3 linked regions of the Lonchura striata genome follow. The protein of the gene in region 1 interacts with the protein of each later gene in a pairwise test. Links are inferred from orthologs where the notes say so. Each region holds a gene or a part of one and is shown on either strand. Other genes may lie near its edges.

What was found.
Region 2: the proteins of MGAT5B (region 1) and HOXA1 interact in a two-hybrid assay, tested with the Homo sapiens proteins (2 studies listed by BioGRID). The two-hybrid records come from large-scale screens. The link is inferred for Lonchura striata from reciprocal best matches to the Homo sapiens genes MGAT5B and HOXA1.
Region 3: the proteins of MGAT5B (region 1) and PITX1 interact in a two-hybrid assay, tested with the Homo sapiens proteins (2 studies listed by BioGRID). The link is inferred for Lonchura striata from reciprocal best matches to the Homo sapiens genes MGAT5B and PITX1.

What each region holds. Positions count from the first base shown.
Region 1 is NC_134621.1:3,824,043-3,834,289, reverse strand, and holds the start of MGAT5B (alpha-1,6-mannosylglycoprotein 6-beta-N-acetylglucosaminyltransferase B), read left to right. Parts: upstream 1-5,656; 5' UTR 5,657-5,723; coding exon 5,724-5,791; intron 5,792-10,247. UniProt on the Homo sapiens protein: Glycosyltransferase that acts on alpha-linked mannose of N-glycans and O-mannosyl glycans.
Region 2 is NC_134603.1:123,484,515-123,493,979, forward strand, and holds HOXA1 (homeobox protein Hox-A1), read left to right. Parts: upstream 1-5,853; coding exon 5,854-6,472; intron 6,473-6,900; coding exon 6,901-7,256; 3' UTR 7,257-7,353; downstream 7,354-9,465. Other genes in the region: HOXA2 (homeobox protein Hox-A2), read left to right, coding at 308-1,062. UniProt on the Homo sapiens protein: Sequence-specific transcription factor. Regulates multiple developmental processes including brainstem, inner and outer ear, abducens nerve and cardiovascular development and morphogenesis as well as cognition and behavior.
Region 3 is NC_134617.1:9,221,116-9,231,463, forward strand, and holds the start of PITX1 (pituitary homeobox 1), read left to right. Parts: upstream 1-5,736; coding exon 5,737-5,899; intron 5,900-8,694; coding exon 8,695-8,900; intron 8,901-10,348. UniProt on the Homo sapiens protein: Sequence-specific transcription factor that binds gene promoters and activates their transcription. May play a role in the development of anterior structures, and in particular, the brain and facies and in specifying the identity or structure of hindlimb.

The DNA of each region.
Region 1 (10,247 bases):
TCCGTGTTCCACACCTGAGCTGGAGAATCCTGTGTTCTCACCTGAGCTGGAGAATCCCGTGTTACTCACCTGAGCTGGAGAATCCCGTGTTCTGTATCTGAGCTGGAGAATCCCGTGTTCCTCACCTGAGCTGGAGAATTCCGTGTTCCACACCTGAGCTGGAGAATCCCGTGTTCCTCACCTGAGCTGGAGAATTCCGTGTTCCTCACCTGAGCTGGAGAATTCCGTGTTCCTCACCTGAGCTGGAGAATCCCATGTGCTGCCAGGAGCACACAAAATCCTGGGATATGATTCCATGCAGGTGCTTTTATTAAGAGCTCTGGGAATCAGGGGTCCAGACCCAAATCTGACTCCGACACGGCTTTCGAGCTGAACATATTTTATATTCTATCGTTATATAACTCACATATTAATTACTAAACTTATATTATTCTATTGTATACATTGACATGAGTTTCTCGTGATTTCCTAGGCCCCTGACCACAGTTTCTCATGATTATTCTTACGATTAAACAGTAATTATATTTAATTACTAAACAATCATCACATCTAACAATTATATAATTTATCATGTACTAGCTACACAGGTGCACTTCTAGTAAGGTACAAAATCTTCGTATACTTAGGGTATTTATTTTCTTTCAGGGCCTACTAAGCTTAATTTTCCTTTTAACCCTAAATCCCCATGATTTTAAACCCTTTTACTATCATTCTGAGGAGCAAATTTGGGTGGTGGTTTTTTTTTCTGCCCCTGGCTGGTGATGCTGCTGGCACAGGAGGTCCCTGGGGCCTTTCTGTGCTGTTGTTACAGAGATGGGCAGAGGCAGGAATGCAGCAATTGAGGCTGAGCCAGCGGTGGAGCCTGGAGTTGTTTGGTGACAATAGAAAAGCTCCCTGTCACCTGTGGGGACAGAGGAGTTATGGTGACTAATTGATCCTAATGCCCAAAGCATTTGGGCTTTGCAGCTCCTGCAATCAAATTCTCTCTCTTATCTCCAGGGCAAGGAGAACTGAAGGAAGTGGCTTGTCACAGCACATCACAGCTCCACTGTTTGCTGGCATTCTCTCCCTCTGGGATCATTGTTTTTCCATGAAGACCCAGTAGCTTTAGGCTGGAGAGGAGGCTCCAAGATGAAACTTGGGCAGATCCAGCCCCCCAGGCTTTGGAAAGCACTGAAGGAGAGGGGAGCACTCCTGGGCTGGAGTGGGGAGGCTCTGGAGGGTCCTGGGGTGCTTTTGGAACGCCAGCACATGGGCAGTGCTGGGGATAAAAGCCCAAATAAATCCTGTCACTGTATTCTCTGGGACTTCTGAAATGCAGGAGGCTTTTTATGTTCATCCATGCTTTTCATGGGCAGGTGACAGGGAAGGAGTCATTGCCACCCCAGGGCTGGGTGGGATCACATCAGGATGCAGAGGGATGCACAGACTGAGGATTTGCAGGAAGTGTGGTGTGTTCCTTCAGTTCTCTGGAGGTGCCCCCAGCCAAGCAGTGATGCATGTGCATCTGTGACCTTTGCAAGAATATATTTTAAGCTTTATTTCTGGTGGGTTACAGCCCCCCTGTGTTTATTACCCCTTTCCTGCAGCTGTGGTGACCCAGTCCATGACGTTCTGTGCAGGGAGCTTTGGGACTCGAGGCTGCACAGCAACCAAGGATCAATTAAAAATTCCCAAGGTTTTTTTGCCACGTGTCCCAGGGTGATTTTATGATGCTTGTATCCCCAGTTGTCTGTTCTGTTTGTGCTGGATATTAAGTTCTGCACCCTTAAGATTGATTCTGAGAGCGAAGGAGGTGAGAAGTGCGGAGTTTGTTAACAAATAACAAGATAATAACAAAGAGTGGTTTGACACTTTGTTAAGCACACTAATTATTTAATAACAGAGTTAATAACAAAGTGTGGTTTTCAGAAACTGCACTTGCTCCTCTGCATTCCTTCTCCTGGACTGTGTTGGCTGCAGCACGGACAGACAGCAGGACAGAGCTCTCCTTGGCTTTTAGTTAGTTTTTAGCTGGCTGGGGCAGGGAAGTTTCCTGGATTGGTTTTCTCTTTTTTGTGGAACTGCTCTACCTTTCTCTGCACTGAAAACCCAGAAAAACACTGTGAGCTCACACCTGTGGCCCACTGGGGTTTGGGATGCAGCAATTTCCAGCCCAGAGGGACTGATAAAGAGACTGAGAGAGCTGATCCACGCCTCATGATGAGGCATGTCTGAGTTTGCCATCTCTTCAGAACAGTGAGAGGTTCCATTGTTTGATAGGGTTCATTTTCCATCTCTGTGAGCACTTTGCTTGTTAAATAAACAGTTTTTTCCACTTCTCTCTAAGGAGGTTTATGTCTCCCAAACCAGTAGCAGGGAGGGGCTGCTTAATTTGCTTTATACAGGGACCCCATTCAGAAGTTTCCTCACAAATTTGCCCTAAACCAGAGCACTAGGCCAGTGGTGCAGGGCAAGTCCCATCTCCCAGAGGATGCTCTGGTGTTGGAGCTGGAATTTTGGCCCTGTCCCAATTACAGGCAGAGGGGAGGAGCAGCCTGGAGCCTGCTCTGAGGATGCTGCATGTCTGCCTCTGGCTGGCCAGGGGCTCTAATTGGTGCCAAACTTATTTCTTTTGGGCCACCTGGCTGCTGAGTTGGTTCTCTCCATTCCCTGCTGCTGCTGAATTTGGAATAACAAACAAAAGTGCGTGTGTGTGTGTGTGTGTGTGTGTGTGCAGTATAAGTTCAGCATATTGATTTTTGAGGCTATTGCTTCTCAGCTGCCGAAGAAGATAATTCACTGCTTTATTACCATCCTTGGATTTTAGATTTATCCCTCTAAACAGACAGTGAGCTGGTAGTTAATTAAGCTTTTGTTTCAAGCAGCAGCAGAGGGAAAGGACTGGCTGCTGCAGCTCTTCTCCTCAGGGATGAGGGCCCTGGGGGGTGGGGAATGCCACATTCCCATCCCTGGGGTGATGGATCCTGCATGGCTGATTCCGGTGGGAACTGGGAACTGCAGAAGTTGTTCCCTGCTGAACCCAGCGCCCTGCCAGCATCTGCATGGAGATTGACAAGAGCATATTTCTATATTTTATTTTATTTTATATTTTATTTTATTTTAATTTCCTGGTCAGTGCTGCAGGAGGCACCTGGGGGAAGCCAAGATGGCTGAGCTGCCTTCTGCCTGCCCAAAAAACATCCAAACCCTTTGGGGGTGTTTTCCAGCCCAGGATCAGCTCTGGAAAGAGGAGTGGGAGGACACCATCCCTTCTCCCCTCAGTGTCACCCACCCCTAATTCTTAAATAATTAATGTGTGGTGCTTCACCACTCCCCAGGATTTTCCTGCTGGGCAGAGCTGGATTGGCACAATCCAGAGTTTGTGGGATGCACAGAAGGACCTTGGCATTATCCTTATGGAGGTCAGAGGGTCCCACCCCACAGAACTGAGCCCACATCAGCTCTGGTCCCCTCTGGGATGTTCCCTGTCCCTCCCAGGCTCTCAGGAAGGCACATCTGGATCCTGGCACATGCCAGGCTGCTCCACCACCCACTCCATGCAGCGTTTTTGTGCTCTAGGAAAGTTTCCAGCCCCACAGAGCTGAGCTGATTTGGAAAGCAGTTCTTGGAATGAAGGGCTCTGCCTCCTGCTGCCGGCTGGAGCCGGGCTCTGGAGGGCAGCACCACATTTTGAGGTGGTTTCATAGCTCAGGTGAGCACCGAGAATTCCTGTCAGGAGCTAGGAATGGAGTGAGAAGGCAGGAAATCAGGGTAGCAGCATCCCCACAGCACCTGCACTTCACTCCTTGCCCAATGGGCAGTGAAGAACTCCAGGTGGCTTTTCCAGAGGTGCTCCCAGCTGCACTTAAATTAGCAGGGACTGAGCACCCAGCTGGTGTCTGGGCTCTGCCCGTGCCTGGTTGTGTCCACAAGGTCCCCACAGGATGGGCTCCAGGGAAGGGTGTCCTTGCCAAGATGAACTGAGGGTTTGGCTTGGCAGGGCTGGCTGCTGCTCCTGAGCCACACTTCCTGCAAATCCTCAGCCTGTGCATCCCTCTGCATCCTGCTGGGATCCCACCCAGCCCTGGTGTGGCAATGACTCCTTCCTGCCCACAAAACACGTGGATGAACACAAAAACCCTCCTGCGTTTCAGAGGTCCTGGAGAATACGGTTTTACCTCTCACTTCTGCTTGAAAAAAAAAAAAAGCTGTTTTATGGGGGAAAAAAAATCTGGTTTGGGGTAAATTTCCAGCTGCTATCCCTGAGCTCACTCGTGGCTGGTGCTGTTGCAGCTTTATGCTCCCTGGAGCTTTGCTGACCAAGGCCATTCCTGGTTTCCACTGGGGAGAAGGAAGCAGTGTGAGCATCTGGAGTGGCCATGGAAATGCAGTATCACAGCAGCATTTCCACCTCCTCAGCCCCACGGAAAACCCTGGGATTATGCACAAGCAGGGTCAGTTTGTAGAGGAGTGGGTGGCTGGTGCTGGGAGGGCATTGGAATTGCTCAGCACTCGAGGTGCAGATCACTAAGCCAGGCCAGGCAGGTGGGGCTGGAGGGAGTTTTCTCTCTCTGGAGGAAAATGGGATGGAGAAAGGCTGGGAAAAACCATGGGAAGAGAGCATCCCACTGTGGGGAAGGCAAAGGGACAGCTGTGCCCTGGTGTCACCCTGTGCTTTACGGTACCCATGGTGGTATCCAGAGCAAAGAGGGACAGCCAGCCATGAGGGCAGTGTGGCATGAGGGGGCTCTGCTGGCACCACAGCCCCCAGACCACAGCCTGGCCCTGTCCTGTAGCCTGGCCGGGGGGGGACAATGTTGTCCTGTGCTCACCCCAGGGTGCTGCATCCTTCCCTCACCCCCAGTGGGGTGCACCCATCCTGGCTGGGGCTGGAAATGGGGCGTCTCTGGGCTCTGTGCACACTTGGCTCCTTTAAGTCCCAACTTTTGGGAGGCTTTTTGTGCTTGTCACCTTCCACAGGAGAGCCGGGAACACCTCTGCTGAGCTCAGCACTGCTTCTCCTGCCTCAGCTCTCACGTCCCTTTGCCCTCCCAAGGACACGGCCCTGGTCCTCTTGGCAGCACCCTGCACCACCCGGGGGGACTTTGGGGAGCCACATGGTGGCTGTCACCGTGCACCCAGAGAGAAAACAGCGATGGGGCCGCAGAGCTGCATCCTGCTGCTGTCGAGAGACTCCAGACCCGCCTTTCCCCACTAGGGAGGTTTGTCCTGCTCCTAAACACCCCCTACAAATCAAACAGCACCCGGGCACGGCGCTCGGTGGCATTTCTGCTCTGACTGCCCCGCCAAAGGACCATCCCTGCCTCCCGAGGTGCCCACGCCGGGGCTGTCAGCTGCGCGGGGATGCTGCCCAAAACGCCATCCCCTGACCTCGGGGGGAGGCTGCCGCAGCCCCACATCCCCTGCCCCTGCCCGACCGCCCCTCTGCGGGCCGGGTTGCCGCTAGATGGCAAGCGGAGCCCGGCGGAGCCCGGCGGAGGCTCCGCGGGGCGGAGCGGAGCCGCAGCGCGGGGTGCGCGGAGCCGAGCGGAGCCGAGCGGAGCCGAGCGGGCCCGGCCATGGGCTGGGGCGGCAGCGGGCAGGGGCGAGGGTAGGGCTGGGGGGCCGCGTCCCCCCGGAGCCCCGCGCAGCCCCGCGCCCCGCCCGCCGAGCCCCGCTCGCCGCCGCCCTCGCTGCCGCTGGGGCGGTGCGGGGCCGCCCCCTGCCCGCAACTTCGAACGATGATCACTGTCAACGCGGATGGCAAGATAATGGTCAGAAGATGCCTCGTCACCTTGAGACCCTTTAGGTAAAGTTGGTGCTCGCTTCTGGCCGCCGCCGCCTCGCCCGGCTGCTGCGGGCGGGGGCTGCGGCTGGCCGGGCTCGGGCTCCGTGTGCGGTGTGGGGTGTGCGGATGGAGCCCGGATGGGCATGGCAGCGAGCCGGGCTGGGACCGGGCTGGGACCGGGCAGGGATGCGGGCAGGGACTGGGCAGGGACTGGGCAGGGACCGGGCAGGGACCGGGCAGGGATGAGGGCAGGGACCGGGCAGGGAACGGGCAGGGATGCGGGCAGGGACTGGGCAGGGACTGGGCAGGGACCGGGCAGGGATCCGGACAGGGACCGGTCTGGGACTGGGCAGGGATCCGGGCAGGGACCGGGCAGGGACCGGGCAGGGATGAGGGCAGGGACCGGGCAGGGAACGGGCAGGGATGAGGGCAGGGACCGGGCAGGGACTGGGCAGGGACCGGGCAGGGACTGGGCAGGGATCCGGGCAGGGACCGGGCAGGGATGAGGGCAGGGACCGGGCAGAGATCCCGGCAGGGATGCAGGCAGAGATCCGGGCAGGGACTGGGCAGGGACCGCACAGGGACCGGGCAGGGACCGGGCAGAGATCCCGGCAGGGATGAGGGCGGGGATTCGGGCAGAGACCGGGCAGGGATGAGGGCAGGGACCGGGCAGGGACCGGGCAGGGATCCGAGCAGGGATCCGGACAGGGATCCGGACAGGGACTGGTCTGGGACTGGGCAGGGATCCGGGCAGCGATATGGACAGCAATCCGGGCAGGATGCGGGCAGGGATCCGGGCAGGGATCCGAGCAGGGATCCAGGCAGGGATCCAGGCAGGGATCCGAGCAGGGATCCGAGCAGGGTTCCGGGCAGAGATCCGAGCAGGGATCCAGGCAGGGATCCGGACAGGGATCCAGGCAGGGATCCGAGCAGGGATCCGGACAGGGATCCAGGCAGGTCTGCCCGCGGGGCAGCGTGCGGCTCCTGCAGCTCCCGCTGCCTGCCAGCTCCCGGTTCGCCCCGCCGCCGGAGGTGTCTCTGGGGTTATCGCCGGGCTGCTCGCCGCTGGATTTTTTGAGAATGGTTCTAGGAGATGTTGGTACTCCGGGGGAATTAGGTTCCTCTGGTTTAAGCCTGCTGGTGCAGCTGGGGATTTCGAAACCCACCTTGAGCTGGCAGTGGGGCTGGGGTGGATGTCCAAACCTGAACCCCTCCGGCTCCAGCACACCCGTACCCACCCATTGCTTTTTCCCCTTGCTGTAACTCCCCATTTTTGCTTCCATACATTCCCTTCCCTCTCCAGCCCCTGCTCTCCGGCTTCCTTGATTTACTGGAGATGAGCTTCTGTTGCTCCCGAGCTTGAGACACACGGGAGATGTTGGAAGTTACCTGGTTTTTCCGTGGGGAGAGGGACCAAAACCCCTTAGAGATAGAGGCGAACGTGCCGGGGGACGGAGCTCAAGGTGGGGCGAGCCCAGCCCAGCGGTTTCCAGCGCTCCTCGCTGTGTTTGGAGCTCTGGGGTCACCGCAGGGATCTGCTCGCTGCCTTTTTGCTTAGCCCGGGCTACCCCCGGCTGGGTTTGCGCCGCTCGCTCGCTCTCAGGTGTGGGCAGCTTGTCTGCCTCTCCTCGGGAGCTGCTTGCCTCTGCTTGCCTGGAGCGATTTCTGCTGCCTGCGGCTGGGGAACTTGGCCGAGGGGATGCCACAAAGCGCTGGCAGAGGTGTGAGGGCTCCCAGAGCTCAGGAGTGGAGCAGGGAGTGATGCGAGGGACGCGAGAAGGGCGCACTCACCCGGGGAATGCTCTTTGCCTGGCTGTTTGCTCTCTTCACTGGCTTTGAATTGCACAGTGAGGAAGCGACTGGCTGGAGCATCCCTGTGCCCTGGGCATCACCCCTGAGGCAGGGGAGCCCCGTGTCCAGCAGTGACCTGGAGTCAGGGTGGGAGAGCACAGGGTGATCACAAACTCCCATTAGGGATGGGGATGTGTGTGGATGAGGGGTTTGTGATGGCTGGATGGTCTCTGGAGTCCAGGTGGAGAACTTGCACTGTCCTGGCCGTGTGCCCTGGGCTGGCTTCTGCTGTCCAACCAGTCCAGACCAGTATTGGTGCCACTGGAACCAGCAGGGTTACCTCGTTGTTAACAGCCAGGCTCTCTCTGCAAGAGGAGGAATTCCCAAGACCCTTTCCTTACTGTCCCACAGTGTCCAGGACCTCTGCACCTCCTCCCTGCTGCTGTCATGCTGCATGTGACCCCCCATGCCACAGTCCTGTGTCACCTTGCTGCCAGCCCTGCGTGGGTGAGTGCTGGCACTGCCCAGCTCCAGCCTTAACCCAGTGCAAATCACCTCTTCTCCCCCAGCATCAGCACCCCGCATCCTCGGCTGCTGTGGGTCAGGGATAACTCCAGCAGTGGGAGAAGGTCCTGGCACTCAGGCTGGGTCCTGTAAATCCTCCCCTGCTGCTGGCTGGGCAAAGCCTCGCTGCCCGTGGTGCGATCCCTGCCTGATGTGGATTGCTGCCATCAGAGGTGAGGTGCCATCAGCAAACAGCACACAGGAAACCTGATCCTGTGCACCAAAACATTTCATTAACCACCCTCCAGACACGCTGAGCAAAGCAATGCAGGGCCCTGAGCTGGGAGGGAGGCTGCAGAGAGGGAGCAGATCGGTCTGGAAAAGCACAGGAATGTCCAAGGGCGGCTCTGACTTCATCCCAGCAGCAAAGAGTGTCTCGCTTGCCGTGGTGCTGGATGCAGGCAAGAATTCACCGAGGAGCCCTGCTCCAGCTCGCCCAGCTCTGGGCTCTGTGGGTGTGTTTGCCAGCTGGGAGCCAAAGCCAGGCTTTCTGTGGGATGTAACAGAGGTCAGTGAGAGTTCACTCTGGTCCCTGCATGGATCACAGTGCCCGTGGCTCAGCACCGGTCTGACAGCACCACAGCCCTGTGGGGCTCTAAGCAAAAAGGGATTTAAGGAGAGGAGTCGTTCATTAACATGACCTCTGCTGGTAGGAATGGTGGCTCAGCTTTTGGGAGTTGAAGATTTGTCTGATAAAAGATGTTACCTGGCTCTTGGTTTCCCCCCCTCACCTGGGTGGGATTCTCCCTGTGGGTCCCAGCTGGGTGATGTGACACCATGGGCACAGTCCCAGTGTCACATTCCCAGTGTCACAGTCCCATCCTGCTGGGTGCTGCTGGCCTTCCTCCCCCCACCACATGCCAGCTCAGCACTCAGACCCTCCTGGTCACATCCAGCTTTCAGTTCCACGGGCCAAAATCCTCCATGACTGGGGCATCACTTCCAATTTTCATTTAAGACTTGAGGAATTTCACTTTTTTTTTTCTTTTGGGCACCAAGCCAGAGCCCAGAACTATGAACATTTCAGTTTGGGGAGGATGTGGAGAGGGACTTGACACCAGAACTGTGTCCGAGTGATTAATTAAACATGACATGGGATGACAGGCAAAGCCAGTATGCAGGATAGGTGTTATTTGGTCCTTGGAACTCCAGAGTCTTCAGGGAGTTAGGTTTGATTTTGGGAGAGAGGACCATCTGGGATCTGTTATGTTTTACCTACTTTGTGGTAAATTTATTTTCTGTATAAGGAGTTTCCACTCAGGTGAGTCTGGGCCAGGCACTTTTATTCACCTGGAGAACATCAGCAAAAGTAAGGGAGTTGGGGTTCTCAGGCTGAGAGTCCAGCCCTGCACCATCCCTGCTCCCTGGAGCACTGCTCTGGGCTGGATCCACTGATCCCCCAAAGACAGCAATTCCAGTAAGGCTCCAATTCATCTTTTTTTTTATTATTCTTTTTTTTTTAGGAAAAAAGCATCTTGCATCTCCCCTACTCTCTCTGTAATCCAGTCAAAATGAAAAAGGTTTTGTTTCCTAGGGAGATGGTAGAGCACAGATCACCTTTGTATCTTTTTTCTTCCCTTCCCCTTTTTCTTTCTGCTCAGTGCTTAACGATCCCTCCTTGCCAGACTATAATTATGAAGATTAAAAAGCGTCAACAAGGTCTTGCATAATGATGAAGATATTGTCAATAGGAGGTGTGAGAGCAGGATCAGGGCCGAGTATTTATTCAGGTGATGCTTTGTTAAAGTGCCCCTTGGGGGAGGGGGTACCAGGATGGGGCCTTGGGTGGGTTTTGTAGCAGATGTGCTCCCAGGGAGGACCCTGGGGTGCAGGACCTGCCTGGGCTTTGTCCCCTTTCAGCTTGTTTCCTCTCCAGCCTGCTGCTGTGCTCTCCTGCCAGGGAAGTGCCGTGGCAGACAGCTTTCCCCAAGGGCAAACTCAGCCCTCCAAAGCCAGCTGGGTGCAGCAATCCCTTCCAGGGTGTTCCCAGAGCCAGCACTGCACTGGGCTCAGCCTGTGGAAATGGCAGATAATGCACTAACGTCCCCAGATCACCCCCTCTCCAAGCTATTTATGGGACACCACGCTACTTTGCGGCATCAGGGATGCTCTGCTGCCTCCA
Region 2 (9,465 bases), on another chromosome or scaffold:
GCACGCAGCACCGGGCGCTCAGCAGTGCAACACAATGGGTTTACTGCATCCAAAGGCGGCCATTTTGTTGCAGTTGCTATTTTATGCTATATGGACATATAGATATAGACACATACATGCAGCGAGAGCACTCCCCCCCACCCCCCCGGGATGCGATGAGCTGGGGTGCTGAAATTCAATCCGTGCATTTATCTGTTTTGTATGTGTGTCCGTATGCCTTTGCTTTCGCTGTTCGGGCGGTGATGCTTTGGGGTGCGTGTGGTGGTGGTGTTTTTCTTTTTTTTTTTTTTTCTTTCTTTTTTAACAGACCCCCTTGAAATCCCCGATAGCGGTAGCGGTGGATCTAGGCGCCTGAGGACGGCTTACACCAACACCCAGCTTTTGGAGCTAGAGAAAGAATTTCATTTCAACAAGTATCTCTGTAGACCAAGGAGGGTTGAGATTGCAGCCTTGCTGGATCTGACTGAGAGACAAGTCAAAGTCTGGTTCCAGAACAGGAGGATGAAGCACAAGAGACAGACCCAGTGCAAGGAGAATCAAAACAGCGAGGGGAAATTTAAGAACCTAGAGGACCCCGAAAAAGCAGTGGACGAGGAAGAAGAGGAGGAGGAGGAGAAATCCCTCTTCGAGCAAGCCCTCAGCAACGTCTCCGGCGCTCTCCTGGAGCGGGAAGGCTACGCTTTCCAGCAGAATGCCCTCTCCCAGCAGCAGGCGCAGAATGCGCACAATGGCGAATCCCAAACTTTCCCCGTTTCGCCTTTAACAAGCAATGAGAAAAATCTGAAACATTTTCAGCATCAGTCACCCACTGTTCAAAACTGCCTCTCAACAATGGCCCAGAACTGTGCAGCTGGCCTGAACAATGACAGTCCTGAGGCCCTAGATGTCCCTTCTTTACAGGACTTTAACGTTTTCTCCACAGATTCCTGCCTACAGCTTTCAGATGCAGTTTCCCCCAGTTTGCCAGGATCTCTGGACAGTCCCGTAGATATCTCTGCTGACAGTTTTGACTTTTTTACAGACACACTCACCACAATTGACTTGCAGCATCTGAATTACTAAGAAATTAAAGAAGTCCTCTCTAAGGGTCCTGCTTTCTCCTCCTTATTTTTTCTTGATTTTTTCCCCCAGTTAATTAATTTTATGCTTCCCCTCCCTTTCCCTCTTCACTATTTTCTGTTTGTTACTTCTCTCTGATATGCCATTTTGCCGTTTCTTATGAAGTTTTAGTTGTGTTCAATTTTAACCTAGCCACATTCTAGGTCCTTCTATGAAAGCAATATATGAGGTCTGTGAGAAAGTGATCATATAGGAATGTATCTTCACTTTCTTTTTATTTTTGTATTACATTAGGATGCGTTGTCATAAGTATTTTTGGTAGAATAAATTCTTGTTTGCTACAAGGAGCTTTCTCTTTTTTCTTTCTCTTTCTCCTCTTTTTCTCTCTGCTTTCAAGACGGATAACATGACGGGTATCTCTCCCCATCCCTTCCACTATTAATTTACTAATAATCAAAATCCAACATTTTGACAACGAGCTCTTCCCTTTTGGCAATCTAGGACACTCATTAGAGAGGAAAAAATCGTTCATTTCCTTTATTGTAAGGATTCTCATAAGGGAAGGAAAAACAAACTAAAGAAATTAGAACCGTTCACAGATTTTATAGACATTTGCTCCTTTTAATGTATAAATATGGCATCTTTGTGAGGATACAAAGCTTGGAAATCCTGAGCTGTAACAAAAGCATGAATGAAGACTTTCTCTGCTACAGGCAGAACGTAAGAGTGACTCAATAGGGTAAGTGTCTCCTTCAGAAACCACCAGCCTGTTACATGAACGAAAGGAAAGTTGCTTTTAATTATTTTTTTTAATTAATCCTGGTTTTCTAGAAAGTAGTGCTTAGCAGCCAGCAAGATATTTCAGAAAACGTATCTTTAAAAATATCAGAGCTCACAAATAATGTGGTTGGTTACTTCTCACGTGCTGAGTAATCCAAGAAATCAGCCCTAGGAGGAGAGGAAATGGAGAAGTTAGTGCCTGTGAAATCAAAAGGGTGGCAGAAACGCAGGGGGAAGAAAAAATATTTAGGGAGGAACCGGCCTCTCCACTCCATCCTTCTCGGGGGCGGTGCGGGGGCAGACCCGAAGATATTTTTCTGTGTAAGCCTTCTCGAGAGATGAAAGACTGATAACGAAAAGGGGAACCTCTGACTTTAAAGTTACAATTTTCTCGGGCTCACTGCTCTTCTGCTGGAGGCGGCTAGACGGGCTTTCAGAAATCTCCACCAAATTGCCTGCCACCCGGTGTTACCGAACCCCAAAGCAGAGGGTGAGCCCCGTCCTTCGGGCTAAAACACAGCAACAGATGCCAGCGGGGCTCTGCCTCTCCGGGGCCAGGGAATCCCGTGCGGGGACATTCGCGGCTCCTTGAATGCGTGTGAGTGCGAGTGAGTCCGAGCGGTCACGTTACACAAGCGAGTGGGGCTTGGGTGGGGGGTTGTGAATGGGGTCCGTCCATGAGAGCAGTGCTGTCTCCCAGCCCTGTAACACGCTGTGGAGCTGGGATGCGTGGGTTATAGCTGGAAGGGCTGAACGCAATTCTTCCGAAAGTCATAAATCAAACTCTTTCTATGAATGAGAATGTCATCAAAGAGATCAATTGCAGGAACACATTCACAAATAAAAATCCTCTTACGTATTTGCCGAGGCTGGGGATCCCCGTCTAAAACCATTAAGTGAGAAGGCGTTTAGTCATAATTCACTTTTATTGCTCTTTTAAAACAACAGCTTGGCTGAGCTGCGGGCGCGGTGAAACCTCGGCCTCAGTTCTCCTCCTTCCCTCTGTTCCAGCCATGTCCCTGCGGAAAGCGAGCAGCCTCACCGGCATTTTCACTCCCCTGCCACTGGGTTAAATTGGACCGCAACGTTCCTGTAAGGCTTGGGGTTTCTTTTGTGCCCAGATTTCCGGATGCTGACTACACTTAAAGAAAACCAAAGCAAAACGAACTAAAAAAACCAAACCCAAACAATAAAACAAAACCCCCAAACAAAACCCAGAGATGTAAAAAAAAAGAAACGAAAATAAAAAGGAAATGGGAATATTCTACAAGGTTTAAACTTCTCACAAACTCAATTTAAATAAATGGGGGAATTCAGCAAGCAGAACCCGCCTCCGAGGCTCTGGGTGAACTATGGGGCCACAGCTGGGGCACACTCCCACGGAAAAGCCTAAACAGCCGGGATCGCCCCCTCAGCCTCAGTTCCGTGGCAGGAAACGCGGAGCGAAGCCGCGGAGGGGCCGGGATGGCCTGAGGGCAAGGGGAAGGGGCCGTAGCTCCCCCTCGCCTGGCCGCGGAGGACGGAGGGTGTGGTGTGTGCTCCTCCTCTGCTCCGACCCTTCTCATGATGTTGCCCCCATGCTTAGTGCGGGCAGCAAAACCCGAGAGCCCCGCCAGGGAAACAATGCAACAAGAGACAATGGCACCAAAAAGGCAGAGGAAAAAGGATTTCAGGATGCTGGAGACTGTAAGAAAAGTGATTGATCGGAATTTACGGGTAAAAGGGATCTAGTTGTAGTAAAATATTTTTTTTTTCCCTTGGCTAAAGGAAAAAGCATTGAGAAGATGTCAGCCCTTTTATTAGTAAGCAATACTAATCGCTGTCTTTTTTTTTTTTCTCTGCTTTGTGCAGTATTTATCACAACGGGTTTACAAGAATGAAATAAATGTGTTTACAGCTGCAGCCATAACCAAAATTGGCGCAGTATAATATCATAAACGCCTCTAGAGTGTTGTTGCTCTTGTCCTCCACTCCACCCCCCTACAGTTTAAGAAACTGAACCTTTCCAGAGGGCCCTTAACCATCCCCGCCTCTGTAGTAAATCAGAACAAATAGACGTACTGAGGGCACCGGGAATGATGCGTGGTGGAGAGGCGCCCGTCGGTTTTGGCTGACAGTAGAGCGGCCGTGCAGATGCCGTGGGATAAGGGCTGACCCAATAGCAGTAGGAAGGAGAGCTTTGCACCTAGTGTTGTTGTGTCGCAGTTCGTGTGGGAGGGAGGAGCTTGAGGGTGTGTATGTGGGTGTGTGCGTGTGTATTCGTGAGCGGGGAGTGGTAGCGTGGTAGAAGAGCCTTTTGGATTTCAAAACAAGCAAGGATCGAGCGTGAGAACAGAGGGACGTAAGAGTCGGCACCTGCAGAAATAGAGGGGGTAGCCCCTTCTGGGGCTAGTGTCAGGGGACATGACTTTCCATCCATCTTTCTCCGAGGCTGACGTTTCGCAGAACTTATTTTGAAGACTTTTGGTCCCGTCCTTTCTGCCTGCAGACGGTTGGGTGAGCTGGGACAGACGGATGCCCGGCCTTTACCTCCCCTTTCCCTTTCCGCATACGTAAAACGCATATAAGGTCGTAACCTACATCTCACCGCCATCCCTCCTTCTCTAGCCACGGACGAATTTTTTGACCCACCTCCCCACGGTGTTGGGGAGGGCTGGGTTGGAGTCGATCCTCAGAGCCGTTCCCGAGGGTCCTGGGGCCGCCTCTGCCACTGGCCATCTGCCATCTCTCCCTACCGCCGACCCGGGTGGCGGAGCGCAGGGACAAAGAGGCCGGGCCGGCGGGCTCTGCGCCTCCCTCCGCTCCTCTGCCCCTGTCCCGGGTCGCCTCCTCGGGCTGCGACCCGCGACACCCCGGACAGCCGTCCCCCCACCCTGTCCCAGGGCGGACGGGCGGCAGCGGCGCTGCGGGAGCACAGCAGATGGGCTGCGGAGCCCCCGGGCCCCCGTCCAATCATTCGTCCTCCTGCCCCCGGCTCCTCCTTCCCTAGGCTGGCGAGGGTGAGCCCGGCGAAGGCGCGGGGGGAGAAGGGATGGGGGCCAGAGGGTGGCCGGTGAGCCTGGGAGAGCACAATGGCCGTCAGTCCCAAAAGCGCCTAATTTCCATGCTAATGTCCGCGGCCGCCTGGTGATGCGGCTGGACAAGCCCCTTTAACTCTTGGCGTGGCGTCGCGTTGGGACTGCGGCGGGGCTGGACCAGCGAGACCCCCTCGGCACCGATACTATTACCGTCTCCACCTCCACCCACATCCCATCCATATCCATATCCTCGGTCCCATGCCTATTCTTTATTCTCTACCTTATCCTTACCTTCATTCCTTTTCTTATCTCAATTCCCGTCCCGGTAGAAGTCCCCAGCCGCATCCCACGGTCCCATTCTCATTCCCGTTCCAAGGGCTGATGCTCTCAGCGCTGTCTCTGCCTCTCTCCGCCCCATCCCTCGCCCCGTGCCGCGGATCCAGTCACCTCCCCTAGCCACCCCACCCCACCCCCGCCGCTGTCCTGGCCGGGGTTGATGGGCAGCAGAGGTGCCCGGTGCAGGCTTGACAGCGCCGACAGCAGGGTGATGCTGGGGCACACTGGCAGCAGCACTCACCCTGGAGGGGACGGCCGGTGGGCTCCGCGGGCCGGGCGCAGCCTCCAGGTCTCTCCTGCCTTCTTCTCTCAGCTGGCGGACGAGACCCAGGGGGCTGCCGCGGCGGGGGTGTGTGTGTACAGCCCTGCCCGGCCCGCCCCCCACCCCCTGGGGGCCACGGCCGGCGCCTCCCTGCCCGCGGTGCCGCTCGGTCGGAGCGCTCGGCGTTTAAATGCCCCCGATGCGGCGCTGTACCAGCGACAGGAGCCGGGGAAGCCCCGCGGGCGCCGCAGCCATTGGCTGCCGCCCCCCACGTGCCTGCCCGCTGCCGGCGCCTTCGTGTCATTTTCCTGCCGGCCCCATGGAGGAAGTGGGAAAGTTGGCGCGGCCCCGCCGGACGCTGAAGACCCGGTGGCGGCGTGACAGACAGACGCGGCGAGGATGAGCTCCTTCCTCGAGTACCCCGTCCTCGGCGGCGAGGCGGGGGCCTGCGCCGCCCGCGCCTACCACCCCGACCACGGGATTACAACTTTCCAGCCCTGCGCCGTCAGCGCCGGCAGCTGCAGCGGAGAGGACCGCTTCCTGGCGGGCCGCGGGGTGCCCATCAGCCCCCACCGCCACCATCACCACAGCCCGGCCCAGCCCGCCGCCTACCAGCACCACGGCGGGCTGGGGGTGTCCTACGCGCACCCCGGCTGCGGCCCGACCTACAGCGCGCAGGGCTTCGGACCGGCGTACGGCCCCTACCCCCTGGGGCAGGACGCGGAGCTGGGCGGCGGCTTCCCTCCCTGTGCCCCCGCCGTGTACTCGGGGAGCATCTCCTCCTCTGCCGCTGCGCAGCACCCGCTCCCCCACCAGGGCTACGCGGGGGCCTCCGCTCAGTACGTGCCTCCCCCTTACGGGCAGGACCAGCAGAGCCTGCCCCTGGGCACCTACAACCATGCGCTGTCTCCCCTCCACGCTGGCCACCGGGAAAACGCCCGCTCCCCCTCCACCGAGACCTCGCCGCCGGCGCAAACCTTCGACTGGATGAAAGTGAAAAGAAACCCACCCAAAACAGGTCAGTGGCCGGCGGGAGGGCCGGGGCGGGGGCCGCTCCTCTCTCTGTCCGCCGCAGGTGCGGGGAAAGAGGCGCGGTATCCCGCGGGGCTCTGGGCAGGTAGGTCGGCCCGCACCTCTGGGATCAGTCGCGGCTGCCTGCCCGCGCAGCTGAAAGCCAGCGGCGCTTATTCCCCACTTATTCCTGACTCCCCCTTCTCCTCCTCTCCCGTGGTCATATTTCTGGTAATTCATAAACCACTTATCAAGTTTGCTCTGACACTAGAGGCTGACTCCGGTTTAGCACCTCGTACTCCATCACTCACCCTGCCGGGGTTTCCCTCTTATCCTAAGAAGTTCTTGCTCCCTATCGCTTAGCCGGTGTGGACATATTGATTACATCGCCTATAAATCATTTGCGCTCACTTACCGCTGCATGTCCCCTCGCAGGCAAGGCTGGCGAGTACGGCTTCGTGGGGCAGCCCAACACCGTCAGAACTAACTTCACCACCAAGCAGCTCACCGAGCTGGAGAAGGAGTTTCATTTCAACAAATACCTGACCAGGGCCAGGCGAGTGGAGATCGCCGCCTCTCTCCAGCTCAACGAGACGCAGGTGAAGATCTGGTTCCAGAACCGGCGGATGAAGCAAAAGAAACGGGAGAAAGAGGGGCTGCTGCCCATCTCCCCCGCCACCCCCACGGGCTGCGAGGAGAAGGCGGAGGACTCGTCGGAGAAGTCCTGCTCCTCGCCCTGCAGCGCCTCGCCCGCCTCCTCCGCCTCGGACACGCTCGCTGCCTCCAACTGAGACCGGCTGCGCCCCGACGGCCGCCGGGCGCGACGCCCCCGCCGGAGCGGCACGCGTCCTTCCGCCGCTCTTATGTCGGTCCCTCGGTCGGTCGGTATCCCCGAGAGGTCCCGGCGAGCTGCCGTTCCCTCCCCCGCTACCTCCGCCGCCGTCCGGCCCCGGGGGTGCCGGCTCCGCCGGGTCCCGGCGCCTTGGTGCTAGGGGAATTTTCTTCCTGGCCCCCCCTTCCTTTTCTGTTAAGGGTGGAGCTGTGTTGGCATCCGCGTAAGGGTCCCCCTCCACCACTGCAAGGACGCTCCACCGAGTTTCCCTGAGTGAAAGACAGGTTATTTAGGGTACATAACCTCACAAAGAGATGCACTATTGCAAGTGTTTACACGACTTATAGGACATTCATCCCCTTAATTTAATGTATTCTTTGTTCGTGTCAATGTATTTGTTGCTTGTAAATACTTTGTCCGAGAGATTTATCTTTTTACAGATTTTTCTAGAATGATGTTTCGATTATCAGGTTAAGCAGGGTGAGTGCATTCGCCAAACTGGATCCATTTTTATATTGGTAAAGTAGATGACCGTATCAAGTAAACGTCTTAAGCTCAAGCAGATACCTCAAAAAAGTAGCGCTATTTCTTTAAATGTGACAAACAAGGCTTCAATTGCACTAGGTTTTTTTAAACCTTGCCCAGTGTGCTTGTCCCCCCTCCTTTTCCCCCTGCCCCAAAAGCTGTGTTGGATTATGTGCAGCTGAAGGGCACAAGCATCCAAAAGACCTCGCCTCTTCCTATTTTCATATTAACCTTCCTTTAGACTCGATGTCTTTTCAAACTACTCGTGAATGTGACAAATGGCCAAATGAATGTATAATTTCTGTGGTTGGTGTCCAGACCTTTGCATGACGCACCGTGCTTTGCTGTACTGCAGGTACACTGAGTTCTATCAGTTGTCGTGTGTGAGCAAAATGTCCTGATTTTTCTGTACAATCATGAAAGGCTCTGTGATTCCACCAGTGGTGGAAGCCAGGGCAGGATTTACGGGTCCTTATAATGTCTGTAATAAATATATTCCACTTTCAGGTAGCTCTTGTCTGCCTACCTCTGCGTGACGTCAGCGCTGAGTCACAGGCTGGGCTCAGCGCTTTTGTTTCCCTTCTTTTCTTCTACTGGGGTCTTTCCAATGGGCAAAGGGAGTAAGAGTCTCACAACCCCTCCTGTGTTGTTTTGTCAGAGTCAGAGAACTAGCTGCCCAATCTGACATCCTACACAAAACTTCTTCCTCTCCTATGCTCAAAAAATATTATTTTTAGACAATATAAGGCCCTTCTCTCCATTCTCTGTAACTGGGAGGAATTTATGATCCCAATCTAATTCTGAAGCACAAACAGGAGAACTTCCTGGGTCAAGTGCTAACCTTTTCACCTCGGGATGGATGCTGACACTTAAATAAACAGAGCACCCTTCAAAAGCAGAAACTCTCTTCAGCCAGTCTTTCCTCACGCTGCAGGCCCCTCTCCAAGGACTGCATATTTAATTAGCCTGGGCACTAAGCTTGTCCGGCTTCTCTCTCCATTCCAAGCTGCTTTCCCCAGCGCTTGATGGGGTGCCAAAGTGGGAGATGGCTCCCAGTGTGTTTTTGGTGTTAATCCCGGGCCCGTTCCACCATCCCTTCCCCTCTTTCTCCGCGCCCCCCCTCCCACCCCCCCAGCCCGCCGTGTACAAGAGAAAGCTCTTGCAGGTAAATATAGTAACTATTCCAAGAAATGTCAAGTGAACAGCAGGTGGGGAAGGGAGAGGAGCCTCAGCGGGGAGATCCTGGGTGGCAGGACACAGTAGAGGCATGCTCAGCTGGACGGGGGATGTCTCAAGCCACTGATGCCTCTTGAATTACAACGCAAACACGCCTAACATCTCCTTCACCCGGCCCAGCTGCGGGAAGTGCTACCGGGCTTCTCCTGGGGCTGATCTGCCCACGCAGGCTTCGCTTTGCGGGATCCACAGAGAGTCAATGAAATTTTCTTCACTTCGGTGTCAAAAGAGACAAGCCCTGATTTGCAAGGCGCGGCGGCCATATCAAGAGCCGAGCTATCTGCCAGGGAGCAGGGCTGTCTCCAAAGGCTCCCGCCGATGCCTCTATTTCTTTCATTTCCCCGCCTGCCATATACTTTACCTTTTGTTGATTAGTGTAAAGCCACAAAGCAAAACAGATGGCCTTC
Region 3 (10,348 bases), on another chromosome or scaffold:
GGCTGGAAGGCAGCTCCTGGCAAGGGTGAGACTATGCCGCCAGGGCTTTGGTGTTAAAAGAAGTTGTCCCACGTCGGACAACTACGAAATGGTTTTGTTTTCGGGGTGCTGGTAGAATGACGGCCGAAGTGAACCAGCACCATCCCGCTCCACCCCCGGCTGCTTCCAGCTGCAGAAACCCGAATAAAAAAACCGTTTCTCCAGCCGTCAGTCGTTGCATTTCAAGAAAGCCTTGGGGTATCATTTGTATCTGTCAGAAAACATTAAGCCTTCAACATTTTCATCCCGAGCTTTTTCAGGCGCTGCCGCTGGCCGCCGCGCCCGGGGGAGCCCCGCAGCGGGATGCGGCTGGCGGGGCGGGGAGGCAGCCCCGGCTATCCCGGGTGCCCCGGGAAGTGTCCAGGGCCGGACAATCCCTCGTGCCTTTCCCCCGTCGTGTTTCAGTGGCGGGGAGAGCCGAGGCGGTGGGGCAGGGCCGGCCGGAGCGCGGGGAGCGGGATGGGGCAGGGAGGCAGCGGGAGGCCGGGGGGCCGAGAGCGGCCGCTGGAAACCCTCCCGCAGAGCATCCGCGGCGCGGAGGGGCCCTGCGCTCCCGCGGAAGGCGGAGGCTTGGCCGACATATGGAGGGACGAAGGCTGCTCGTCCAAAAGGGGCTGTTTTCGTTTTGTTCTACTTCTTAGGAAAATTGCTGTCCTGGCTGCGCAGAGGAGGACAGGCCGGCCGGGAGCCAGCGTAATTTTCCACCTTCCCCTCCTGAGCGATTTAACACGCACTTCGGGCTAGGTTTCTTCCCTCTCACTGCTTCCCACTGCACCCCGCCCGTGGGGGACCCGGCTCTAGCTCCGGCAAAGGTCGGGGGGTTCTGGGGCTCCTTTCGCCGTTTTGGGGTTTTGCTTCCTTTTCCCTTCAGGCCTGGGCCACGGTCGCGCGGAGAGAGCAGAGCTTGGCCCTGCGCGGGGGCATAAACGCGGATCTGCACCTTCTGCATAAGGGTCATGCTTTTCATTTGGGATGATGCTGTTTTGAGGCAGGACACCCCTGGAACACTTCCCCGACGGACACCACCCCTACGGTACAGTGCAACAACAGCCCCTGCCCCCGCCCCGTGCTCCGCGGGGCATCGCGCATCGCCGGACTCTGCTTCTTCCGACACGCGTGGTCATCCGTGGGTCAGAGTCATGCATCAGCAAAGTGCGCCCGTGTGGCACTTTCTGGATGGTTCCATTATTAAAAGTTGTTTTCCTGCAGCAGGTCCGGTCTCCGGTTCAGCAAAGGGGGCGCCAAGGGAGGTTGGCGGTTTGGTTTGGGCTTGGTTTGGCTGGGATTGCATTGTTTGGGTTTTGCTGGGCTTGGTCTGGTTGCATTCATTGCAGTTTGGTTTGGTTTGGTATGGTTTGGTTTGGTTTGGTTTGGTTTGGTTTGGTTTGGTTTGGTTTGGTTTGGTTTGGTTTGGTTCGGTTCGGTTCGGTTCGGTTCGGTTCGGTTCGGTTTGGTTTGGTTTGGTTTGGTTTGGTTTGGTTTGGTTTGGTTTGGTTTGGTTTGGTTTGGTTCGGTTTGGTTTGGTTTGGCTGAGTGGACTTGAGTTTGGTTGAGCTGGATTGGGTTTGGTTGGACTGCGTTTGTTTGAATTGGCGTTGTTTGGACTGCACTTGGCTGGTTGAACTGGGTTTGGTTGGGTTTGCCTTGGGGGGCTTCTCCCTCCTCACTTGCCTCACTGCACCTCTGTTTCTCAGAAGGCTTCCCTCTCTTCTCGGGTAGAGGTGTGCTTGGGAGGACGTGTCTTCATTTTTGTAACAATTCCCAATGATTTATAGACTGAATCTTAGTCTATACAGCGGTAATAAATCTGAAAAGGAAAAGCTGGCAGAGACTGAACTTCATCACCTGATATATGGCCCAGGTGGTTTGGCATTGGCTGCAACCACCGCAACCAGCGGGGATGGGAGCGCCACTCCAAAAGTAGGGACCCGCTCCAGACACCTGGGGGTGAGACGGCGCTGTCCCCTCGGGGACAGTGAGAGTCTCGCTCTCGGACAGACGCGTCTCTTCTTCACGAGGCTGTCACTGGCGTGGCCAGCGCTGATTTGTTTCTAAGCTCCATCCTTAGTTCTGAGGTTATTTATAGCAGGAGGAAGTGGTGCGGTTTTATTTGCGGGTTTCCAGCGTTTTACACATCCCTGACGCAGTCCCCAGCCGGCGGTGCCGGGAGCGCGGTGGCTGCGCGGGCGCGGAGCGGCGGTGCCCTCCGGCCACCCCACGCGGAGCGTTCCCACGAGAAGCTGTCCCGCCACCCGGGTCCCCGCCGATGCTCCGCGGGTCCTGCTCGCCCCGGCCCTGCCCTCCCCCTGCCTCTGCCCGGCCCTTCCCACGCCCACGCAGGTCGCGGCTCCCCAGGGACGTCCTGGCGGGGTCTCCGCGGCCGGGCTGCTGCGGCTCCTGCTCCTCCCCGCAGCTCCTCAGCCCCCCCGAGGCGGTGGGAGAAAGCGGCACCCGAGCCCGGTGCCCCCGTCCTGCCCAGCCTGTGCGGCCGCTGGGCCGCCTCCAAGCCCCGGGAAGCGCAGCCGGCTCCGAGCGGGACATCAAGGATTGCCGCGGGTCGTGCCTGGCCGAAAGGCGTGACGTGAGGTCAGCGAGGCAACGAATGACGTCACGCGAGCGGACCGTGACGTAACGCCTGGTGAAGGAGCTGCCGGCGGAGAGATGTCCTCGCCATCCCGCAGCTGAGCGCTTGGATGGGAGGGAAGAGGAGAAGCGCAGATCTGGGGGTGACCGCCCTGGAGGCGCGCTCTATCGTGACATAAGTGTCGGGAGCAGCAGCGGGAATTACCGGGAGGATTTGGTTCTGCGCTCCAGGACTGTGCCCACTGCACGGAGTGCGGAGTGAGAGGATGCCCTTAAATCCACGAAAGACGTATGAGACACACAGAGGAGACAGATACATGGTATGGATTAGATAGATACAAGATTAGATTAGATAGATTTATGATATAGATATATTCTCCCACTGCCGAGCCGTGCTCAGGTGTGCGCTAAATGCCCGCCCACGCCGCGGCCCAGGCACGGACACTCATGGAGACGGTCAGGGGATAACCTGGATCTGCTCCGGCTCCCGAGGGCCAGCCCGGTGCTCTCTGTTTAAGGGTGGTATCGGGGGATGTCTGCCCCGGTGACACTCCACGAGGAACCGAGGGCAGCGATCGCCTGGAGAGAACAGGACCCGGCGTTACCGCGGTCGCCGCCTCGGCAGAATCACGCCGGTGCCCGGGCAGAGCCTATCTTTCCGTCCAGCGGGGAGGAATTGAACCTAGAACGAATATTTTAAAACTAGATTTTATAGAACAGAATAAAAAACGTAATTCGGTGCATTATTTTTTTAAAAAAAGAAAAATTAAATGAAACGGGAAAATGCTGCCTCCGGCTCGGAGGTTGCTGTGAGCAGTGGGTTTAAAATAGCCGGAGCGGAGCCAGGCTGTTGGCAGACTCGTGGAATCATAGAACCATCAAGGTTGAAAAAGACCCTTAAGGTCAACGCCTCCCTCCCTCCGGCCCGCTGCGCTCCGTCCCCCTTCCGCCGAGGGCGGGGGAGCCCCCGCAGGCCCATCCAGGGCTGCCGCCCACGGAAATAAAGGGAAAAAAGGGGACGGTGAAGGGTCTCAGATACGGCGCACGTTTGCAGTAATACACCTCCCCCCTCCTTGGGAGAAAGGCCGCTCCCACCTCTTGCTTCTCACACTGGAGGAGGTCTCCATCCTTCCCGTGCCTCCTGCATCAGCTGAGCCCCTTGAGGCTCGGAGACCCCGGTAAATATTTGCATTTTAAACCACGTCCATCTTAAACAGCCCCGAGGTTGTCTGGTTCACCTCGGGTGCTCGAAATTCCCTGTCGTTTGCAGACTCCTGAGCGAAGTTCAGCTGGGAGCGGCGAAGGCCAGAAGGACATCAAGATGTCACTTTAAAAAAATTAACAAAAAGAAAGAGAGCTCGGGAGAGATGACCCTGACAGCACCCACATGTGCATGCCCTGAATGATGCTAAAGACCAGAGGTGAAGGGATTTGGAGCTTTGGGCTTCCCACACCTGGGGTCCCCAGGCCTTGCGGGGTGCTGCCGGGGGTGCGGGGCGGGCCCGACTCCATCATCTCCGTGAGGTCGGAAAAATCCTGCGCGGCTGCAACACTGCTTCCCTCCACTTTTCCATAAAACAGTTCAAAAGTTCTCTCCCACATCTTTACTTGATTTGAAAGCAAAATAGAGTGTCAGGATAGATCAGTTAAAATGAGCCAAGAAAGTAGAGAGGAGAGAAGGTCCTTTCCCTAGACAGTCAGAGCCAGGGTCTTCCTCCCATTTCTTTCTCCCCTTTCCTCTCACCGCCGGTACCCGCGGTTCCCACCTTTCTTCTCCCGTGGGATTTTCCACTTCGCCAAGACACCGAGTTGTTATCCAGGAGGGCTAAGGCCGTATCCCGGCCTGCGTGGGCCGCACCGGGGACGGGCCGTGCTCCACACGCCCCTGCCTCGGGACAGGATGCATCAATGCAGGAGAGGGGCTCTGCCGAGGAGGGGTGGGGGTCTCCCACCTCCCTCCCCGCAGGCTGCCCAGGCTCCCGGACTGGCATAGTCGCAGAGACCCCTCCCGAGGGTCAACGCGAGTTCGGCTGCAGCAGGAAAATTATTTGTTATTAATCGTGTGCTGAAAGATGGTGTGATGGGAGAGATGGCACTGCCGCTGCTCCCCGGGCTGCGCTCCCCTGGCCGCCAGCCGGGCCCGGGCAGCGTTCTTATATCCCCCGCAGACTGGAAAATAATGTTTAAAAAGGTTAAAACCAGTTCCGACAGAGCCCACAGCCCATGCACCCCTCCAGGAACATTTTCCCCGTGAGACTGAAATGTGTGGTGGGGTCACTTAGCCCCGCGCAGAAACCCTGAGGAGTGCGCGGGTGCGCATCCACTGCTGGGTGCGGAGGTTCCGCGGGTCGTGAGGCCCAGTCTGGAAGGGTGTGGGGATACCCGTGGGGCTGCCGTGCTGCACGGGGGCGCAACCTGCGCGCTGCCGGCTGGTAGGGGATTACGGAGGGGAGTGAACTGACGGGGTGCTGGCAGCGGGCGGGGGTCCCCAGAGGATTGTCCACCTTTCCATTCGTTTGTGAAATATTTTTAATACATCACCGAGTTTGGGGGAGGAGGCGGGTGAAGAGAAGGAGGAGGGAAGGCACCCCCGAAGGAGCCGCGGCCAGGCGGCGGGGGCCGGGCAGGGGCGGCGGGGGCCCGCGGGTCTGGCCGCGGACGCGCAAGGGGCGCGGATGGCGGGGAGTGCGGAGTTGGGTCCCGCGCGGCCGGGCTGGGCCAGCGCTAGATGGAGTGATGCATGAGCGAGACGGGGAGGTTTTAACCTTCAGGGGGAGGAGCCCCGTTTAACTACAGGCATTTGTTCTAGGGCAGGTCACTTTAATCTCTTTAGCTTTAAACTGTCCAACTCGCAACTCGCGTTTCTCTATAAGGGATCTTTACCACTTCCCTGCCTATGCGGCCGGAGCGCCGTGACTCTCCCCAGCAGAGACAACCGCCTTCCACGCACTGCCCAGATTGCTTCCGACACCCTTAAAATAATACTGTTAGTAATAAGTGGATTTGCTTTTGGTTTTTGTTGATTTTTTTTCTTCTTAAAAAAAAAAGCTCCTTGTTCCTTTCTGTGTGGAATAAACACCTGCAAACTCCCCCAGGCAGCCCGGCGCCCCTGCCATGGATTCCTTTAAAGGTGGAATGAATTTGGAGAGACTGCCTGAGAGCTTGAGACCCCAACCCTCCCATGACATGGCTTCCAGCTTCCATTTGCAAAGATCCTCGGAACCCAGAGACCCGATCGACAACTCAGCCAGTGAATCCTCCGACACGGAGGTGCCAGGTAACCCTCCCCCTCCCCGCGCCCCCGCGGCCCCGGCCCTCTCCCCCCGCGCTGCCTCCCCCTCCCCACCGCGCCTTCCCTCCGCGGGGCGGCCGGGGGTGCCGAGCCCGCGATGGAGGCGATGGAGGGACAGGGGTGAGCAGGAGCTGCCGGTGATCGCGGCGACTCCATCCCAACCGAGCCCCGGGAACCGGAGCGGGGGGCAGGGGCCCTCCTGGAGCTGCCTCCCCCACCGTGCCCGGCGCTGACAGCCCGCCGGGGGGACACATGGCTCCATGGTCCCATCCCAGGAGCTGCTCTCTTTTATTTATTTTATTTATTTTTAAATAAAAAACTGTCGTTATTAATTGATGGGGTCGGGAGGAAGGGGAGGCTCTTCGGGGAGTGCGGTTTTGCCGGATGTTTCTGAAATAATGTCAGCTTTTGCCCGGGTTTATTTTCCAGCTCGGGTGGTGCAGAGATGGAAAAAGATCTCTCTGTCAGCGAAAAGAATTTTTTTTAAAAAGAAAGAAAGGGCAGGCAGAGCCGGAGAGGCAGCGTGGGGCCAAGGCAGGCAGTGCGGGCCGCCGCGGAGGGGATGTGGGCGGCCGCGGAGAGGTTTTGCGTGGGAGCTGAACGCTTTCCCCGCAGGAAAAGGGAAGGATCCCCATGCCCTGACCATCGTGTGCGAGGGCTACAGGGAACGCTGTGCTCTCAGATTGCATTTAATTAAAACAACAACATTTTTAGAATGACAAGGGAAAGGTAGAAGAGAGGAACAAAAACTTAAAGAAGGAGTGTGATATTCCTTCTCCAGCCAGACTGTTTCAGAGGGAGTTTATGTTTTATATAATTTTATTTTTCTAATAGCTATTGTTGCTCTTTGGAATTTTAACCTAGAGAGTAGCTGTTGTAAGAGTCGGTCCCAAAGTGGCACTCGGTGATTGAAAAAGGTTTGGGTTGTACTGCCCGGCCTGATTCGCAAACAAAGTTAGAGACCGGCGTCTGGAAGGGACTCTGAGATTAGAGGGGATTATTGGAGATTAGAGAGGGAGATTTGCTCCATTTTGCCCTACCCCTGTGTGTGACCCCTCGGTGCTGCCGGAGGGCTGAGGAGCTGCCTGCTTTTCTTCTCCGAGAACCTGTAAAATGCCTTTAGATTTTATTTTTTTAATGTGAAAAAAAAAAAAAAAAAAGTAGTTACAAAAGCCGATTAAAGATGCCTTGCCTTATGATTTGGAATTGTATCACAGCCCTGCGCTGAGGCCGGATTTTTAGGGCGGACCGGGCGAGTTAAAAGTCAGCGCTGGGCGAGGGGCCGCGGCCGGAGCCCATCGGGACCGCTGCCGCTCCCCGATCGCCCCGCTCCCTCTCGGGCGCTTGATCCGAGCCGTTCGCGGCCCAAGCGGGAGGATTTGTTTTGGCGGGGGTGATTTCTGTTTCTGTTTCGCCGCCGCCGCCGGGCCATGCGGCTCGGCCGGTCTGGGGACCGGGGGGCCCGGGGCGGTGGGGTCTGCGCTGAGAGGCCTTGGCTTCGCTGCAAACCCCGCAGAGCCATCGGCCCCTTTTGGGGGTCCGCTGAGCAGCTGAGGTTCGCTCGCACCCTCACCCCTTTCCCTGTGCAGGGCTCCCAGCAAGGTGCGATTCAAGGGTGACTTTGCAAGGACGAGTCCTCCCGGGCTCTGCATTCAGCACGAGATTATTTTTAGACTCCCGCTTACCTCGCAGAGGTCGGGGCTGTAGAAATAACCCCGGGCCCGCCGGCGGCGGGAGAAAACCTTCTGTTTAAAAACAAAAGCAAAAACAAACAAAAAACCCAAACCAACAAACAAAAAAAAACTCTTTAAAGGAGGAGAAAAAAAAAAAACAAAACTCCAAGGGCGAAAACTCGCCGCGGTTTTTCCCTTCTGCAGCAGCAGGACCGAGGCCGGGCTTGGCCGCGGCCCCGGCCCTGCACGGCCCGGCCGCAGCTTCCCCGCGCCTCCGGGGCCCAGCCCGGGAGCTCTTTGGTTCAGGGCCTTTAGAGCCGCTCCGAGCGCTTCAGCCGGGACAAACCGGGCCCAAGCCGGGCTGGGAGAGCCACAGAGCCCGTTACGAAAGGGGAGAGGGGGTTCGCAGGGTCGGTATTGAATTCCTGCTCCCAGCCCGCGCAAATCCCGGCCCAGAAAACCCTCCTGGGTGGTTTCTTTTTTCTTTCCTTCTCCGATATGATTTTTGCGGAGGGCTTCGCTCAGCCCTGTGTTAAAATAAACACCAAAATCCTAAAAGTTGAAGAATAAAATAATTATGAAAGTAGAACGAAGGAGGGGAGCAGAGAGGGGCCTTTTGCAATTAATTGCTCCGGGGTTTTCCACCCTTGCCCTTCCAAAGTTTCCTGTCGCGGCCGAGCACAACAAAAACAATGGAGCAAAGATCACGCCTTGGTTCGGAGGGAGCGAGAAGGTGCCGTAGAAAGGCGGAGCGGCCGGTGATACGGGGACCCCGCTCCCCACGAATGCAGTCACCCGTCGGGCCCGCTTTGAGCCGCTCTGAGGGTCCCTCCTGCTGCATCCCTGGGTGCCCTGGGCCCGGCAGGGCTCCCTGCTCCTTCCCCAGCCGCGCCGGGAAAGGCCGGGATGGGCTGTGGGGCGCTCGTTTGGTGCAGGGCTCGGCGGGACACAGTGGGGCCCCCACGCGTGTCTCCGGTGGGGTGGGCAGCGCTGACTGCGGGGCGGGGATATCTGCCTTTGTGTGTCTGTACTGGGAAAAAAATTAAAGCACAAAAACACAAAACAAAACAAAAATAAACCAACCATCCCCAACCCGACCCCTCGCAGAAAAAGAGCGTAGCGGCGAGCAGAAAAACGAAGACGGGGCCGCCGACGACCCGGCGAAGAAGAAGAAGCAGCGGCGGCAGCGGACCCACTTCACCAGCCAGCAGCTGCAGGAGCTGGAGGCCACCTTCCAGCGAAACCGCTACCCCGACATGAGCATGAGGGAGGAGATCGCCGTCTGGACCAACCTCACCGAGCCCCGAGTCCGGGTAAGAGGGGCTGCAGCCCCGCCGGGAGCGAACTCTGCTCCGGGGCCGCCGGAGCGCGGGGGGCTCGGGGAAGCCGCCCCTTCTGGGGAGCGCTGCGACGGATTGCTCTGGGCTGGATGTTAATGGCCAAAATTGGGATCCAGGTCGGAGAGGAGGAATTCAGCTCTCGGCCACGGAGAGATGCCGCCCGGAGCGGGTAGCGACCGCCGGCCCTGCACTGGGGACCGGTTCGAGAAGTGGGCGGCGAGCGGTGCAGGGAGCAGCGGAAGGCCAGGGTGGGGAAGGGTCTGACTGTGGGGGGAAGAACCCTCTGGGCTGGACGAAAAGCGCCGCAGAGATGGAGCAAAATGCCATCCGAGCGACTTCCCCTCGCTCTGGTTATTCCCAGTAATCGCCAGGGCCGTGTCCCAGCAAGCCGCTGCCCCTCGCTATCGCGGCGTGGCGAGCTCCGATCCGCTCCGTGCGGGTCTCGCTGCCGGCCCCTCCCGGCTCGCGTCCCCCAGGCCGCGGGCTCTGCGTGCAGGCCGAAAGCGAAGGACAGGGGATGGGAGCCCTCATAAAATCAGTACGCGCTGAAGACACAAACTTCTACCGCGAGGGCGCTCGATTTTTACACGCCTCGGAGCCTATGCCACCATATATATTTATATATGGATATATGGTGTATATATACATATATAGCATACATATATATATATGCGCCCCTCTTAGCCAGACTCGAGGGGTTTGGTAATGTTAGTACACACGGCGAGAAACATATGTATGTATGTGTGTGTATGTGCATGCATACATATATTTATTTTTATATTTTTATATATAGAGATGTGTGTGTGTGTGTATGTGTGTGCTTCGGCAGTTCTTTACAGAGATTTATGAGCGAAAGATCCTGGCAAAGAACGACTGGGCCGAAGCGGCTCGATCTCTATGGATCTATCACTGTGTCTCGGTTTGTCCATCTCCCAAATGCTTTTTTCCACCCGAGACATTTCCCCGCGGGGTTTCGACAGTGGTCGCACACCACGGGCCCGTGGGCTAAGCGCAGGAGGAAACGGGAACTGCGGAGCGAAGCCCCGCTGCACGGAAAGTGCACTTCTTCTTTTTTTCTTTTCGTTTTTAGTTTTTAACTTGGCAATTAAACCTTGAGTGACCAAATCGGATTACAGAGATTCTGCTTTAAACATTTGAAAAGTAAACACCCATCTGAAACAATTGCGTCTGAAAGCATTGTCTTAATTGAGTTTGAAACAAAACAAAGCCTGAGCATTAATATTGGTTGAATATTTCAGGGAACAAATATAACTAAAATATGAGTTGCAATTAACATAATTTCGTTCTCCTTCTGTGTGGAGATGTTTGGGTTTGATGTTTTGAGATGGCAGATTGCAAATCTAACCTTAATTTGCTATGAGGGCCTTCCTTTAAAATGTCTAGGAGCCATAATTAAAACT